Schizosaccharomyces pombe: one gene and its partners. Each later gene encodes a partner of the first gene's protein in a complex. Each region holds a gene or a part of one and is shown in the gene's direction. Other genes may lie near its edges. The genes, in order: sec20, bos1, sft1 and use1.

Evidence for each region.
Region 2: sec20 (region 1) and bos1 share a complex: the UniProt entries of both Schizosaccharomyces pombe proteins name them as parts of the SNARE complex.
Region 3: sec20 (region 1) and sft1 share a complex: the UniProt entries of both Schizosaccharomyces pombe proteins name them as parts of the SNARE complex.
Region 4: sec20 (region 1) and use1 share a complex: the UniProt entries of both Schizosaccharomyces pombe proteins name them as parts of the SNARE complex.

Annotation. Positions count from the first base shown.
Region 1 is NC_003424.3:4,103,160-4,106,569, reverse strand, and holds sec20 (SNARE protein Sec20), read left to right. Parts: upstream 1-1,851; 5' UTR 1,852-1,947; coding exon 1,948-2,628; 3' UTR 2,629-2,837; downstream 2,838-3,410. Other genes in the region: RNA polymerase II CTD phosphatase Rtr1, read left to right, coding at 861-1,454. UniProt on the Schizosaccharomyces pombe protein: SNARE required for targeting and fusion of Golgi-derived retrograde transport vesicles with the ER.
Region 2 is NC_003424.3:1,923,185-1,927,091, forward strand, and holds bos1 (SNARE protein Bos1), read left to right. Parts: upstream 1-1,896; 5' UTR 1,897-1,917; coding exon 1,918-1,941; intron 1,942-1,982; exon of another isoform or gene 1,983-1,992; coding exon 1,993-2,089; exon of another isoform or gene 2,090-2,161; coding exon 2,162-2,748; 3' UTR 2,749-3,355; downstream 3,356-3,907. Other genes in the region: tos4 (transcription factor), read left to right, coding at 9-1,579; metallopeptidase Oma1, read left to right, coding at 3,555-3,907. UniProt on the Schizosaccharomyces pombe protein: SNARE required for targeting and fusion of ER-derived transport vesicles with the Golgi complex.
Region 3 is NC_003424.3:413,670-416,518, reverse strand, and holds sft1 (SNARE protein Sft1), read left to right. Parts: upstream 1-1,679; 5' UTR 1,680-1,718; coding exon 1,719-1,835; intron 1,836-1,889; coding exon 1,890-2,048; 3' UTR 2,049-2,274; downstream 2,275-2,849. Other genes in the region: bun107 (WD repeat-containing protein), read right to left, coding at 1-756, 834-1,113; rod1 (arrestin/PY protein 1), read right to left, coding at 2,645-2,849. UniProt on the Schizosaccharomyces pombe protein: Vesicle SNARE required for retrograde transport within the Golgi complex.
Region 4 is NC_003424.3:3,599,283-3,602,584, reverse strand, and holds use1 (SNARE protein Use1), read left to right. Parts: upstream 1-1,620; 5' UTR 1,621-1,729; coding exon 1,730-2,398; 3' UTR 2,399-2,756; downstream 2,757-3,302. Other genes in the region: FYVE tethering component Pep7, read right to left, coding at 1-706; rps2401 (40S ribosomal protein eS24), read right to left, coding at 3,009-3,302. UniProt on the Schizosaccharomyces pombe protein: SNARE required for targeting and fusion of Golgi-derived retrograde transport vesicles with the ER.

The DNA of each region.
Region 1 (3,410 bases):
ATCTAAGCCAGTACACTGTCATTTTGGTTCCTAAAGGGCACGCGATTTGTGCAGACAAAGAAGTTTGGTCAATCTTAACAGCAATAAACACCCAAATGATAATATCGCACGTGAAGAAGCGACTGACTACATGTGAGACGATTTTCAATGAATGAACATTGTGGGGAAAGGATCTGGGGAATTCCCTTCCAATCGTAACATCTTGTTGACAGTGATTCGTTCGACTAGCCAAAGGTAGCGTAATGCACTGTAAGATTATTGGGTATTATTTTGCTTATCAATGTTGATTGGTTTTTGTTATTTAACGTTATAATAATATTTACGCAATTGGATCTGGTTTCCTATTTTACATAAGGATACACTAGCAATCCTAAAACGAAGCCACAGCATCGTTGGTTTGCTATATTTACGATTACTGTGTGGGTGTGGGGTATGGTATGGATATGGATATGAATCATTAAGATTAAGGACCAGTTATTTACTAGTGGAAGATATGAATAGGGTGGATGTAAATTTATCATTATTATTTTTAACGGTAAAATGATTTTCTTAAAGAGACCTACAAAACTTTCTTTACATGATTGGTGCAACGCATGCTTTTCTTTATTTTTTTTCCTTTGTCCACACTCAACTGAGAGGGTAATTTCTATCAAAATTTTTAGTACCAAGGCCAACGCACTGTCTTAGTTCGCTGTAAATGAATTGCGTAACTCAAGAACTCTTTAACAAAAATTGCACGGCGCTAAAGTATTTTTACGATGCTCATTCCTCCTTCCAATGCTTGACTGACTCATATCTGCCTAATAGCGATTTTTAAGACCTTCTGTTTTCCAGCTGACTCCAATATATCCAATTCAGATATGAACAAAAAATCAATTCTCAAAAAGCCGAAAAATGCTCAAAGCACTCAAGAAAAGCAATTGATCACGTGGTCGAAGAGTCTTATAGATGAAGCACGCAGTCGACTTCAGTATGATTTTTTTGCCCTCGAATGGATTGAAAAGCTGGTTGATCCGGTTTCCCTAGAAACTTTAGAGGAAGCTCGTAAATACCTTCGAAAAAGTGATTACGATCAAGTGGTGAAGGAGCGTAAACTCGTCAATCTGTGCGGTTATCCCGTTTGTCCTTATGAACCTAAGCAGCAAACTAGGTATAAATTAGAAGATTCAGGAATGAAGGTCTACGGTGGACTCAACTATTATTGCTCGAAGGATTGCTTTCTAAAAAGTTGTCAATATATGGTTGAGTTGAGCGACGAACCATTATGGATACGTGAAGATGCTCGCGAAGCTATGAAACAACATCTCGATCCTCGTCAAGATGAAGCATTTCGTAAAGAGTTGGAAAACAAAAAAATTGAAGATGTACGCTTACTCCTGCAAGCGTTGCCTGTGGGTTATAAGGCAAAAGTTGGTGAAATCGTTGAACATCCTTTGGCTAATGAACAATCATAAAGCAAATGGAAGTTTATCAAATTTTTTCTTTTCACCCCAGAATATGTATAATATTTTTGAACAAAAAAGACACCGACTTGTGTCTAGCGTCGTTTGAACTAGAATGAAAGGTTGCTTCATTCTACAGTTGCGTGCATAGTAACATTTCTGTGGTTTTCGACTTTTTATTAAAGATCGATACAATATTCCCTTTACCATTTACACTTTCTAATTTATTTCACCTTATTGCCTTCTATCTTTATTGTCTCTTTCTCTCTCTTAGCATCTTTATTTCTCGTTATTTATAATTCCGCATTTGATTTCTTTTCCTTATTCTATATACCGAACCTTTCGATGTATAGTCTTATATTCACCTTCAGCTGTGCTATATTGTTAGTGCATCCATCATTCGTTTCCCACTCATCATCATTTACCTTTATCGTTCTTTCCTCTTGCATCTCATAATACTATTTCTCCTTTAACTTGTTCAATAAAGCAGAGAACATAGCATTCGATGGCCGACGTTCTGAATGCACTAGAAGAAAAAGTTGTTGAATTACAACAGTCAGAAAGCGTTGAAGTTATTAAAAGGCATTTTCGAGAGTTTAGAAAAATATGGGAAACTGCAAGGGTAGAGCTTGAATACTCATCCATTCAGCTAGACTCAGTTCTACGATATGAAAAGGCTGTACAAGAATACATTCGGTTGAACAGAAGATATCGGAATAAGATTGCTAGTGGTGAACCATGGTTGCCTATCGCACAAGAAATAGGTAAGATTGTAGATGAAGAGGAAATTACCTCACCAAGTGATGGTTCTCTTCAAAAGCGTTCAATGGATAACTCTGGTTCGTGGCAATCTGATGATATTTATCTTACAAGCGCCAGTCAGGTCACGGCGGCTATGCGTGATATTCACGCACAAATGGTACAGGCAGTGGATATGAGTGCCGAAAATGCAATGGAGTTGTCTTCGAGTACCAACTTGTTAGAAACTCTACAAGAGAAATATTTTGGTGTAGAGGACGTTTTATATACAAGTAAACGGATAATCAAATCGCTCAAATTAAGTGATCGAAGTGATTACTTTTTAGTCGTCTCGGGATTTGGGTTCTTCATATTTGTGGTTGTCTATCTTCTCTTCAAGCGAATTGTCTGGCCTATTCTTTCTATGTTTCTTTGGTTTCTTCGGTGAGATTTTGAAAATGCATTGTTTATTAAAAAGAAAGGCGAGATTAAAAGCAAGGCTTTTTGAGGCTCGTTCCCATCGAGCTCGAAGTATCTATACGAGAAATTATTTTTTCGCCCTTTTTCTCAATTTTATTTTGAAAAAGTCTTTGTAAAGTAGTTCTTATGTTTTAATGTTTATCTTATACGATTGGTTTTTATTTACGTGTTGTTCTCTTTAAATAAAAACGTTGAATGGCGTAGAAGTTTGCTGATGATAGTAATGCTATAGTATTTGTAACTCAATGGGAAACGCCATTCCGTAAACAAAATGAGTTCTTGCTCACGAAATATGCGACAGTCGGCATGCAGCTGCATTTCAAATCATTCTTATTGTATATGCCTCTTTGATTGTCAAAACCATTTGTTTGACCACAGTACAAAAAGAGCAGTATTCTTTGAATTCCTAATAAAAACTAGAGCGCTTGTTAATTGGGAAACGCATCTTGTTAAGTCTGTCGCATATTTTCTAGGGTCCGGTACGAACGCCTAGAATCTGAGATCGGATAGCAAACTCCATTAAACCTATAAACTTAAAACTAATAACTGCTTATGTAAAAATTCATTAACCAAACGTTCTAATTATTCAGTGTCCTGGTTCTATTTGTTTGTGTGCTTTCTACTTCAAATGCGTAATATAGTGTTTACAAGCACGTAAGCATAACGATATAAATTAAGGCACATGCCCCGCGATGTCTCACAACAACTTGTCTTTAACCAAACTCTTTACGTTAGTTAACGGAGATATAA
Region 2 (3,907 bases), 2.2 Mb from region 1:
TAATTTAGGCCAATTCGTCCTCACGCCTGAGCCATCTAGTAATACATTCTATGCCCCCTCTTCGCCTGCTTCTGCAGTGAGAAGAGAGCCACTTTCTCCAATGTCTTTTGTACGGATGCGTTCACATCGCGTTAATAAAATTGGCCGTTCTAGTCAACAATGTGACCATGTCCTATCCACGGTTGATAAAGCAATTTCTCGTGTACATGCTATTGTAACTTGTACACAAGACCGCATGATTATTGAGTGCGTGGGTTGGAATGGGATGATTGTGTCTGATAAAATGAGGAAGTCAGTATTCCACATGAAGAAAAATGATCGGATTGTCCTGGTAAGACCGAATTCGGATGCTTGTCCTGTACTGGATGTATTCGGTTACCGAGTTCTTCTTGGTTGGCCAAGTGATTCTGAAGATGAATGGGAAGGAAATCTTAATGCTAAAAATTATGAAGAAAATCGTGAACCTATGTCTCCTTCACCTCAAGAAGCTTTACCTTTGATGCCTTCATCACCTCCTTCTCAAGACTATCAAAACGATCAGAATCATCTCATATTGTACACTAATTCCGAATCCATTCCTAAGCTAAACTTGCGTAGTAACGAATTAGTATATCCTCCTCCATCCAAAGATTTGTTACAAAAGCTTCTTGCCTTAGAAAAAGATGGTCAGGTGGAAAAGTCTGATTGTTCCAAAAATACACAATTAAAACCATCTTTTCTCCCAAAGAACACCGACGATTTACTCAATGGCACTGATGATAATAACATCGTTTTAAGAGAAGTTAAGGTTTCTTTTGAGAACGAAAAAATCGAGAGTGATGATCTTGATAAAAATGAGGAAATTAGTGAAGGTGAAGAATACACTCCAATTGAAGAGTCAAAAGAGCCTATAACAGTAAGACGGGATAGCGTTATACAAATTGATGAATCGTCCGCTGGACTAACGGACGTTATCTCTGAACTTAATTTTACAAACCATAATGATGACTCAAAGAATTCTAATATTACAACTTCAAATGATTCCCCAGTGAACGAAGTTGAGCCAATGGCTCCTGAATTGAGTTCAGCAGTTGTGGAAAAGAAGGAACCTGAAGACTACGAAAGCATCTCTGCTGTTGATGAGAACACTAATGACAGTAATGAATCCCTCCCTTCTAGCCATGATTACTCAGAATCAACAAAAGAAAATTCAGCTCCCGATAGCTTATTATTAGGATTGGTTTTAGATGAATTGGTTTTCTCAACAACTTCAACTACTCCCCTTCCTGCACTTTCGCATTTATTTCCTTCCAATATGCCACTTCAATTAATTCAGGACAAGCTTCGAGACTTGGCAGCCAAGCACCCCTACTTTGAAGAGGTTAAACGTTACGGAACTGATGCTAATGGTGATCCATTGTGGAGTGAATGGTTTTATAACCCAGATGTGGATGATGATTTAGAACGGCGTATGAGATATGCTCCATTAATGAGACCAGTAAGATCCTCACGTCGTGTACATAAACAATATTATTGGAAAAAGCCCCGAGCTCGTCCACGTTCATCGGGACATTCTTCTAGGCGTCGTCGTCTTTCATAACGAATTGAATGCTGGCATCAGACACGACCCCTATAAAATTTCGCTTTTTGATATTGTATACATTTCGTTATTACGAATGGAATTATTAGATTTTTCAAATGGGGTTCAACAAAATACAATTGAACTCAATAGTGATTTACATTTAATATGAATTTTGGGTAAAAAAACGCATTCTTTTTTATAAAACTGTATTTACAATGTATAGAAATAAATTGCTACTTTAAGCTATTTACAATTTTGATATAGCATTCAAGTAACGTGTTACTTGCTACATGTGTTGTCATATCAAAGACAAGAAAATAAATTACCCTCATATTGGAACCAACTACGGCAAGAGAATGAGCAATACTCTTTATAATCACGTATGTAACTTCCTAAAGTTTTAGAAAACATATTAATTTGTATTTCGCTAGTGTACAAAGTTGTTTCAGTCCATTCAGCGAAGCCTCGATGAGTTAGAACGTGGTGTTCAAGATGAGAGCAACACTATATCGTTAGCTGGAATTCAGGGTATGTGTAGATGAATAATTATGGTACTTATTTTAACCAAGTTATTCATGAGACTAATGCAAATCAATTTAGGCCAGATCTCAGCTTCATTTCTGTCATTATCCAGATCCATTGATGACTACGATAGTATGGTCCAAAGGGAATTGGTTCCCGCTAAAAAAAAAAAAGCTACAATACGAATCCAAGAGTTCCGTCAAAAGCATGTTCAGTTGTTGGAAAAATTTGATGAGTTGAAGGCACACGTTCGTGACATTGCGCAAGCAAAAAATAGAAAAGAATTGTTAGGGAGGCGTGGGTATGTGAACTCTCTTGATAGTCCCTACGGAAATTCAACAACGGATGCAGAAATTGTGGAAGGGCCATCAGATCTAAGCAGACAAGATGGTTTATTAAAGGAGCATGATTTCCTTGGTCGTGCAGAATCTCAAGTTGACGAATTTCTAGAACGTGGGCGGATGATTCTTGGTGATTTAGTTGAGCAGGGAAGCGTTTTAAAAGCTACTAAGACAAAAGTACTGAATGCCGCCAATACCCTTGGCATTACTCGCCATACTCTATCTTTAATCAACCGTAGGTCCAAACAAGACAAGATTATATTTTATTGTGGAGCATTCCTTGTATTTGTCCTCTTTTACTTGATTTACAGGTGGTTACGCTAACATGTTCATGTCGTTGGCTTGTTTAAATTTACTATTCTTATATGATATGGGGCAGTACAACAAAATCAAAGATGATTAAAAAATTTGAAGAGCTTCTTGAGAGTTAAATTTTTTATTAATTATTTTTAAAAATAAGCTATACATTTTGCACTTGTTAGCTTCTCCTTGCAAGCTATTACTGTTGTGTTTTTTTCCTTCTGTTTATGACATTCCACTAATCACGCACTTATGGGCCTTTTAAATCTAATTCTTTCTTTGTGTTTTTTTAAATCCTTAGTTTGTCAATCAATTAATACCGTTGCGGTAATGCTTGACTAAAACACCTTCTCTTCAGGCGGTTGCTTTGAAATGCTTCAATTGTGATTCCATTTCATTTTATTTTAATATCCAAGAGAAAATTAACTTACCAATGGGCAATAGTTTTTTTTCCTTAGTTTCTTCGTAATTTGCTCAGTTAAGCTATGTATTAAAAATAATAAAATAGACTAAAACTAATTGTCATCACGAACCGTTAGTTGACGACTGTTTTACACTATTTTTATTGTCAACCGTTTTCAATGCAACTTAAGAATTTGTCGAAAGCCAATTGAAATTTGTATTCATATATATTAATTTTGTACCATATATATTGTAATAACTGTATTGGATGAAGTTAACTTTTACTAAAGAAACTCGAGACACGTTTGTTAAAATTAATATCGTTAGCGATTATCCTTTCGTATACCATAATACACCAAACTATCCTCCATTCTCATCTTTTTAAATATCTAGCGCCAATATTTAGTAATTCCTATAAGAATTATTTAATGTTTTTAAATAAGTATATATCAAACTATTCCAGAACCAGGGCTGTGAGCTGCGCTCCAGTTCTATCATACAAGAAATGTAGTTATCGAAATTTCAATGGTTTATTACAGGCAAGATTTCAAAGCAACAACTTGAGTTGGTCCAATAGAAACAGAGTGGTATATAAATCATTTCAGCCCAATCCTAGAGACAAGAGGTTTCAATGGATTTTTGGTGCTCTTATTGCAGGAGGAGGTGTATACTATTTTACACATTTGGAATACGTTCCTATAAGTAACCGTCGAAGGTTTAATGATGTTTCTTTAGATTTTGAAAAGCGAATGGCACAAGACGCCTACAAAGAAGTAATGTC
Region 3 (2,849 bases), 3.7 Mb from region 1:
GCTTAGATAATGCTGCTCCCACGTCCTGATTAAAGAGGGGCTCATCCTTCCAACGAAGAATGGAGCCATCACGACTAGTACTCCATATGAAAGATTGACGAGCAACAATGTCAGAGACAGGAGCATCCTGCTTGCATATTGCAGTACAGCTTTGGTTGTTAGGCTGGTTTCTTATATCAGTACGAGTAATCAAGCCTGAGCGATCACCAGCATAAAATACTTTTAAATCTGGGTGCTCAGAATATAATGCCCATACACTGTCTGAATGAGCTATGAAAGAGAATAAACATTTTTGCGCCCTTAGAGACCAAAGCTTTATTGTAGCGTCTGAAGAGGCTGTGAGAATTGTTCTGCCATCATCACTAATTAGAATATCTCGAACATTGTCAGTATGACCGACTAAATCTGTAATCCTTTTCTTGGAAACACAATCCCATAACTGAATGTCTTTTTGTAGTCCGCCGTTAGCAATTATGTTGTTATTCGCTGCCAGCGAGTAAACACCAGATCTTGGACCAACAACAAGAGAACAGTCAGGTAACTGTTCAAATCGCATAACTTCTTGACCTACGTTGTAGTCCCATACAATTATCCTTTTATCCAACCCACCCGAAGCGACTAACGGACTCTTGGAATATTTGGGAATGCTTACGCGCTTTACGTAGTCGGTATGCTCGCCAATTGTTGATAAACAAGAAGCATTCAAGACATGTGGCTTCCAGAGTTTCACCGTTGAATCAGAAGAACAAGATATCACTAATAAATGTTAGAACGTCAATTTCTATAAGGCTACCGCTATTCTCCAGAGATAATTAAATTTTTCAAAGGCTTACCTCCTTCGGAATCATGTGTTAAAGCTATATCATTTACCCAAGCAGAATGAGCCTGGATTTTGGCTAAGGGCTGGGAAGCTTTACCATAATCATACCCGATGTCCCAACCGAAAAGCTGTCCATCTCGGCCACCACTGTAAAGTGCTCTAGTAACTGGTGCTGACCCTTGTTCTGAAAAGTACCGACCTAGCACTAGACAATTAGCATCCAAACGGTGCCCTAGTTGATCGTTACAGGAATCAAGAACATAAGTAACCTTGTACCGTTTCCGAACACTCATGAGAACAATAAATGAATTATTAATCTCTTAAAACAATGCAATTATAAACAAAAAATCCAATTCAAACGTAAAAAATAAAAATTTATATTATATGATGTCGAATTCAATTTATTGAATGAATTCAGGTTCAAAAGTATTGCAGAAAGATAGTGTGTCCTGAGTCTAAAACGCAGCGGATAAATAAACCCTTTTACTTGGAAACAGGAAACAGTAATGGATCCAAATATTTTGGTAGCGAGTACCTATACAAATATATTATATGTTTTGACTTAGCGATGAATAGCAATTCCTCAAATAACTCAGATGTTAAAGAACGGATCCTACTGCTCATTAAAAATGGATGGAAACGATGAACTTCCAAACCATTTACCTACTAATAAGTAGTCCGATCGATATTGGCATTTGATAAAGCAATAATTAGGCGGCTGATGCTAAGAATTGTAGATAACATTATGTTTGAGCTCGACGAAAATAGAATCAAGTTAGGAGATTCGTTAAAGGATTTATCACCACGTCCTAAATGTCGTTAAATTTTGGTAGTACTCCAAGTGATATAGAAAGATGCTAACGTATGTACATTCATTTTTGTAAAAGTTATTTCTATAATGAATGATCAAAATGAGCGGCGTTTGGAAACTCTGTCTGGGCAGGTTTCTTCTTTGAAAAACGTAACCTACGATATTTATTCCCGTGCCAATGACTATACTCGAATTGATCGGGCTGTATGTAATTTAAAAAAAAAAATTTGAGTTTTTACCTAACCTGTATTATTATAGACTGAAAGCTTTTCAGGACTTTCAAATTCTGTTAAAAAATCCACCGAAAATTTCTTCCGTGTGGTTCGAAGTGCCGGACGACGAAGAATCATGACAATGGTGCTGGCAATCGTAGGGAGTATACTAATAATCTACTATGCATCCAAATGGTTTTTTTAACACGACATGAAAGCGAATGCTACATAAAGGAACGGATATAATGACATAACCTCCTGCTTCAAAATTATAAAATGTACAAGCTTTGAATTCTTATAGGCAATAAATTTATCGATGAATATTCTGAAGATAAATTTGAAAATATAAGCGCAGAATTACATGAAATATTCTTAACGAAATACTACTCCTTCCTCGAAATTTCAATAAGTCCACCATAAAAGTAAAAATAATAAAAAATTTAATTATGACTGTATATCCATATTAAGCTTGATATTCCTCACTTTTAGGAAAGAGTTTTAAGCAAAGAGACGCAGTACTAATTGAATAGAATCATGACATTGTGCCACAAACTAAGTATTCATTCACCTTCAACCGGCAAAAAAAAAAAAAAAAAGATCAAAAGGAAGGGCACAAAAATAAATAATAATAAAAATTTTAACACCTTAGCTTCACGTTCAAGCTTTGTGCATGCAGACCATGAGATGTTTGTATTGATTTAGGCTTTTTTAAGAACACAGCATTCAAATGTACGGAAGTACAGGTAATGAATACTCTTTTTCCGATGTTTGCGCAAAAATTTAAAAATAGTGCTCAAAACTTCAATTTCTTCTTGAAAATCCAGATGGAAGCATACGCGCCCGTCTTAAAGCGTCTAGTGCGTTTCGGTGACTTCCTACACGAGCTGATGTGGGCCTATGCGGGGCAGAAGACGATCCATTTGGATTGGAGGCTTGAGAAAGATGAGCTAAAGAAGCACTACTGTGAGATGGGCTTATACCCGAAGAAGAAGATGTGGAGTGTTCG
Region 4 (3,302 bases), 500 kb from region 1:
TTAATCTTAAAAACTCTATTCTTCTTTTATCAGCTAAAGGTTTTCGAAAAGTTTCGAATGTTTGAAAACGTGAGCGAATTAAACCATTTGAATCATTATACCCAGGACGTCCTTCATAACATTCTCGACAAACACGACACCAAAATCCATTTTCAGAGTCGTAGGTAGCATGAATACTGAGTTTGATCTGGTACATTGAGTGAAAGTTGCAGAAGATATAACCGCATTTACGACAATGAATATGACCATTGATGAAATTTAAAAGCTTATCACACATCGGGTCATGGCAGACCATGTCAGGAACCTCTGGTTGCCAGTGATTTTTGACAACCAAGGAATCTGTGAGCTTAGTTGCTTCAAGGCCGACAGCACCTGATGAATCCCCATTCTGTTCATATGGTTCCATTCTCCAAAGACGTTGAGCGGCTTTCATTTGCAGAGCTGAAGCACCATTTAAAGTCCTTGTTAGCCATGAATTAATGGAATCTTGTCGCTTGTGGATTTTTTCATTATCATTGAAATGAGTAACATCGAGATGATCATTTAATGCTGACAAATTTGGTAATTCCAGCCCACAAATTGGGCATTCAGTGGCTTTAACGATATTTGAAGAATCACTTTGAGCACTAGTAGAAAGATTAGTCCCGGAATGATTGCTCAAATTGGAAGAAATTCGGACTCCAATACGTCTTTTACCATTTTGCATAGTAATCCCTCTGAACTTGATTTTTAGACGAGAATTTCAGGCAATTGAAGCCTTTTCAGTGGCTATATAATTAAAAGTAGCTAAAGTTTATAAATTATTATTACACAGAGCTTGCTCTTGCAAAGGTGCTGAATTCGCCTGACGGTAAGAATTATCACTGTTAGAAGAGTAGACAACTGGTTAACCTGGTGGAATGCTAAACACAGAATAAACAAACATTAGAAATTTAATAAATTAAGTTGTTTAAAATAAAATTATGAGAGATTCTAAAGAAATCACAAATCCTCTGATCAAATAATTAAAGAGTTAGACTGCAATTTTGTTTAATTTTCAATTCAGGAAAACATCCGGTCTGAATAAATTGAAATAACGACAAATGGAGTTACAAGGTATGTAGTCTTTAGCAGTGCTTATTTAAATAAGAAGAAAGATCGCTTTATCAAAAATCTAACACGAAGGCAGCCTGGTCGTCTTTGCGTACTATAAGTGTTATTTCAAAATTTGCCAATGCAATGGCAAGGAATGCAACTCAAGATCCTTGCGTTTTTAAAGATTCTGTCAAGTTTATTTACAACATATATCCTCCATGACTTGAAATATATAGTAAGGTAAATACGCTAATGTTTATTGACACCTTTAAGTTAAGGCATTACGGTTCATGCAATTCTTTTAACATAAGGATTATTAAGCTTCTCATACTTCATTAGATTGAGATTAAAATAGCATTTTATAGTCAAGGCACTTGGTACAAAAATACGTATTCAAAGAGAAATACGGTTTTAATTAAATGTTAGTACATCCTTATAAATGAATAATATATAAAATACTATAATCGTCTACTCTGAAACCCAAAATACTCATACAAGGTGAAAATTAGTATGTGTATAAGATGACATGCACCTGATAACCTACTCAACTCAAACTACTTATAAAATATCAGGAACCCCAGTTTAAAGCGCTTTACATAACTTTCTTTATAGGAGAGAGATATTCTTATGAAATGCTCACTCCATAGGCTTTAAAATGAGTAAAGATTTGATCAGTAGGTTGGAGCGACAATTCAAGTTGAAACGTGATGAGTTTCAAGACCCATTGGAACTTTTAAAATTTGAAAAGAATCTTGATTATGCAAGGAAATTATTATGGGAAGAAGGAAAATGCCAACTTGACAAAGTTGCTGAACCTCAAGGGCTTTCGAAGAGAATCATGGATTTACAGGGTAGGATTTATGATTTAAATGTTACCATGGAAAAAAAGCTGAAAATTGAAGAGAAAAAGATAAAAAGTAAACAAGAGAAGGAGATCGCGCATGCTCTTCAGAGTATTCAAGAAAGGGAGCTTAGAGAGCGACAACAGATGTCGAATGTCGAAGCTTCCAATGCCCAATTGCTCACAAACCAGCGTTCAATGCAAACTGAGATATCTGAGTCACTTTTGCATTTGGCATCTGTTCTAAAAGAAAACGCTTTATCTTTCACAAATGCTCTAGTAACTGATAATCAAGTGGTAGAGCGTACAGGAAGCTTACTCGACAAGAATGCCCACAGTCTGAGACATGCCAACCACGGTGTTCAAAGCTACTCTAAGTCAAAAAGGCTGTCTTTTTGGCTACAGTTAGGAATGATCATTGCTGTAGTTGTTTCTTTTATCGTGATGATCTTTATCCTACAGTTTACCAAAAATCAAAATTAATTATTTTATTTTCGTAAAGAATTCTCGGACTGCTTCCTTTTGTTGATAAATTTTTTTCCCCTTAAGTTATCGCAGTGGTAACAGTACACCCGTTTCTTTTTAATATACATTTTGATACACAACCATTATTGTTGTTTCAAGTTGTTTTCTTACTCGAACGTATTCATGTTTTTTTTGTATTTGAGATCAATGCGTAGATGATATAAGTAAATTGAATAACCAAAGCATACGCAATTTACCATTGTTTTATTTCATTTAACCTTTTTCCAACAGCTGAGTCAATATTAGCCCATTCCTTTATCAATTGACACTGCCCTCAACTCTTATGTTTTTAGTAAATAAGAAACAACATCATTACATTACAAAACTATTAAACTATCATAAAATACAACATATACCGCATGTTCAAAAATTATTATATTAGAGATCAAACTCTAGTTATTGAAGATTATTTACTTCATTCACTACTGTTCACACGAAAGCTGAACAATATTATTTTAGGCAACACGTAATTAAATCCGTTCGAATACAACAATGCATTTCCATCAAGTGAATACATCTCATTACTTTATGAAAATTATTTTTCTGAACCAAGAAAAAATAAGATTGCCTAGTCTTGTTGCTTAGACTTGCGCTTGGCAAGACGCTTGCCAGTACCAAAGACCTTCTTGCCTCTGTTCTTACGTTGCTTGCGTTGTTGACGAGCAACCTTTTGGATAGGCTCGGCATGTCCAACACGGACAAGACGATAATGGGGCTCAAACTTCTTCATGGCCTCGACGTCGTCGTAAATCAATGCAAAACCAGTGGTTCTTCCACCACCATAATGGGTACGAAGACCAAATGCCTGGACAGCACTTGCATCAGTCTTGTACATTTGACCCAATTTTTCACGAAGATCGTT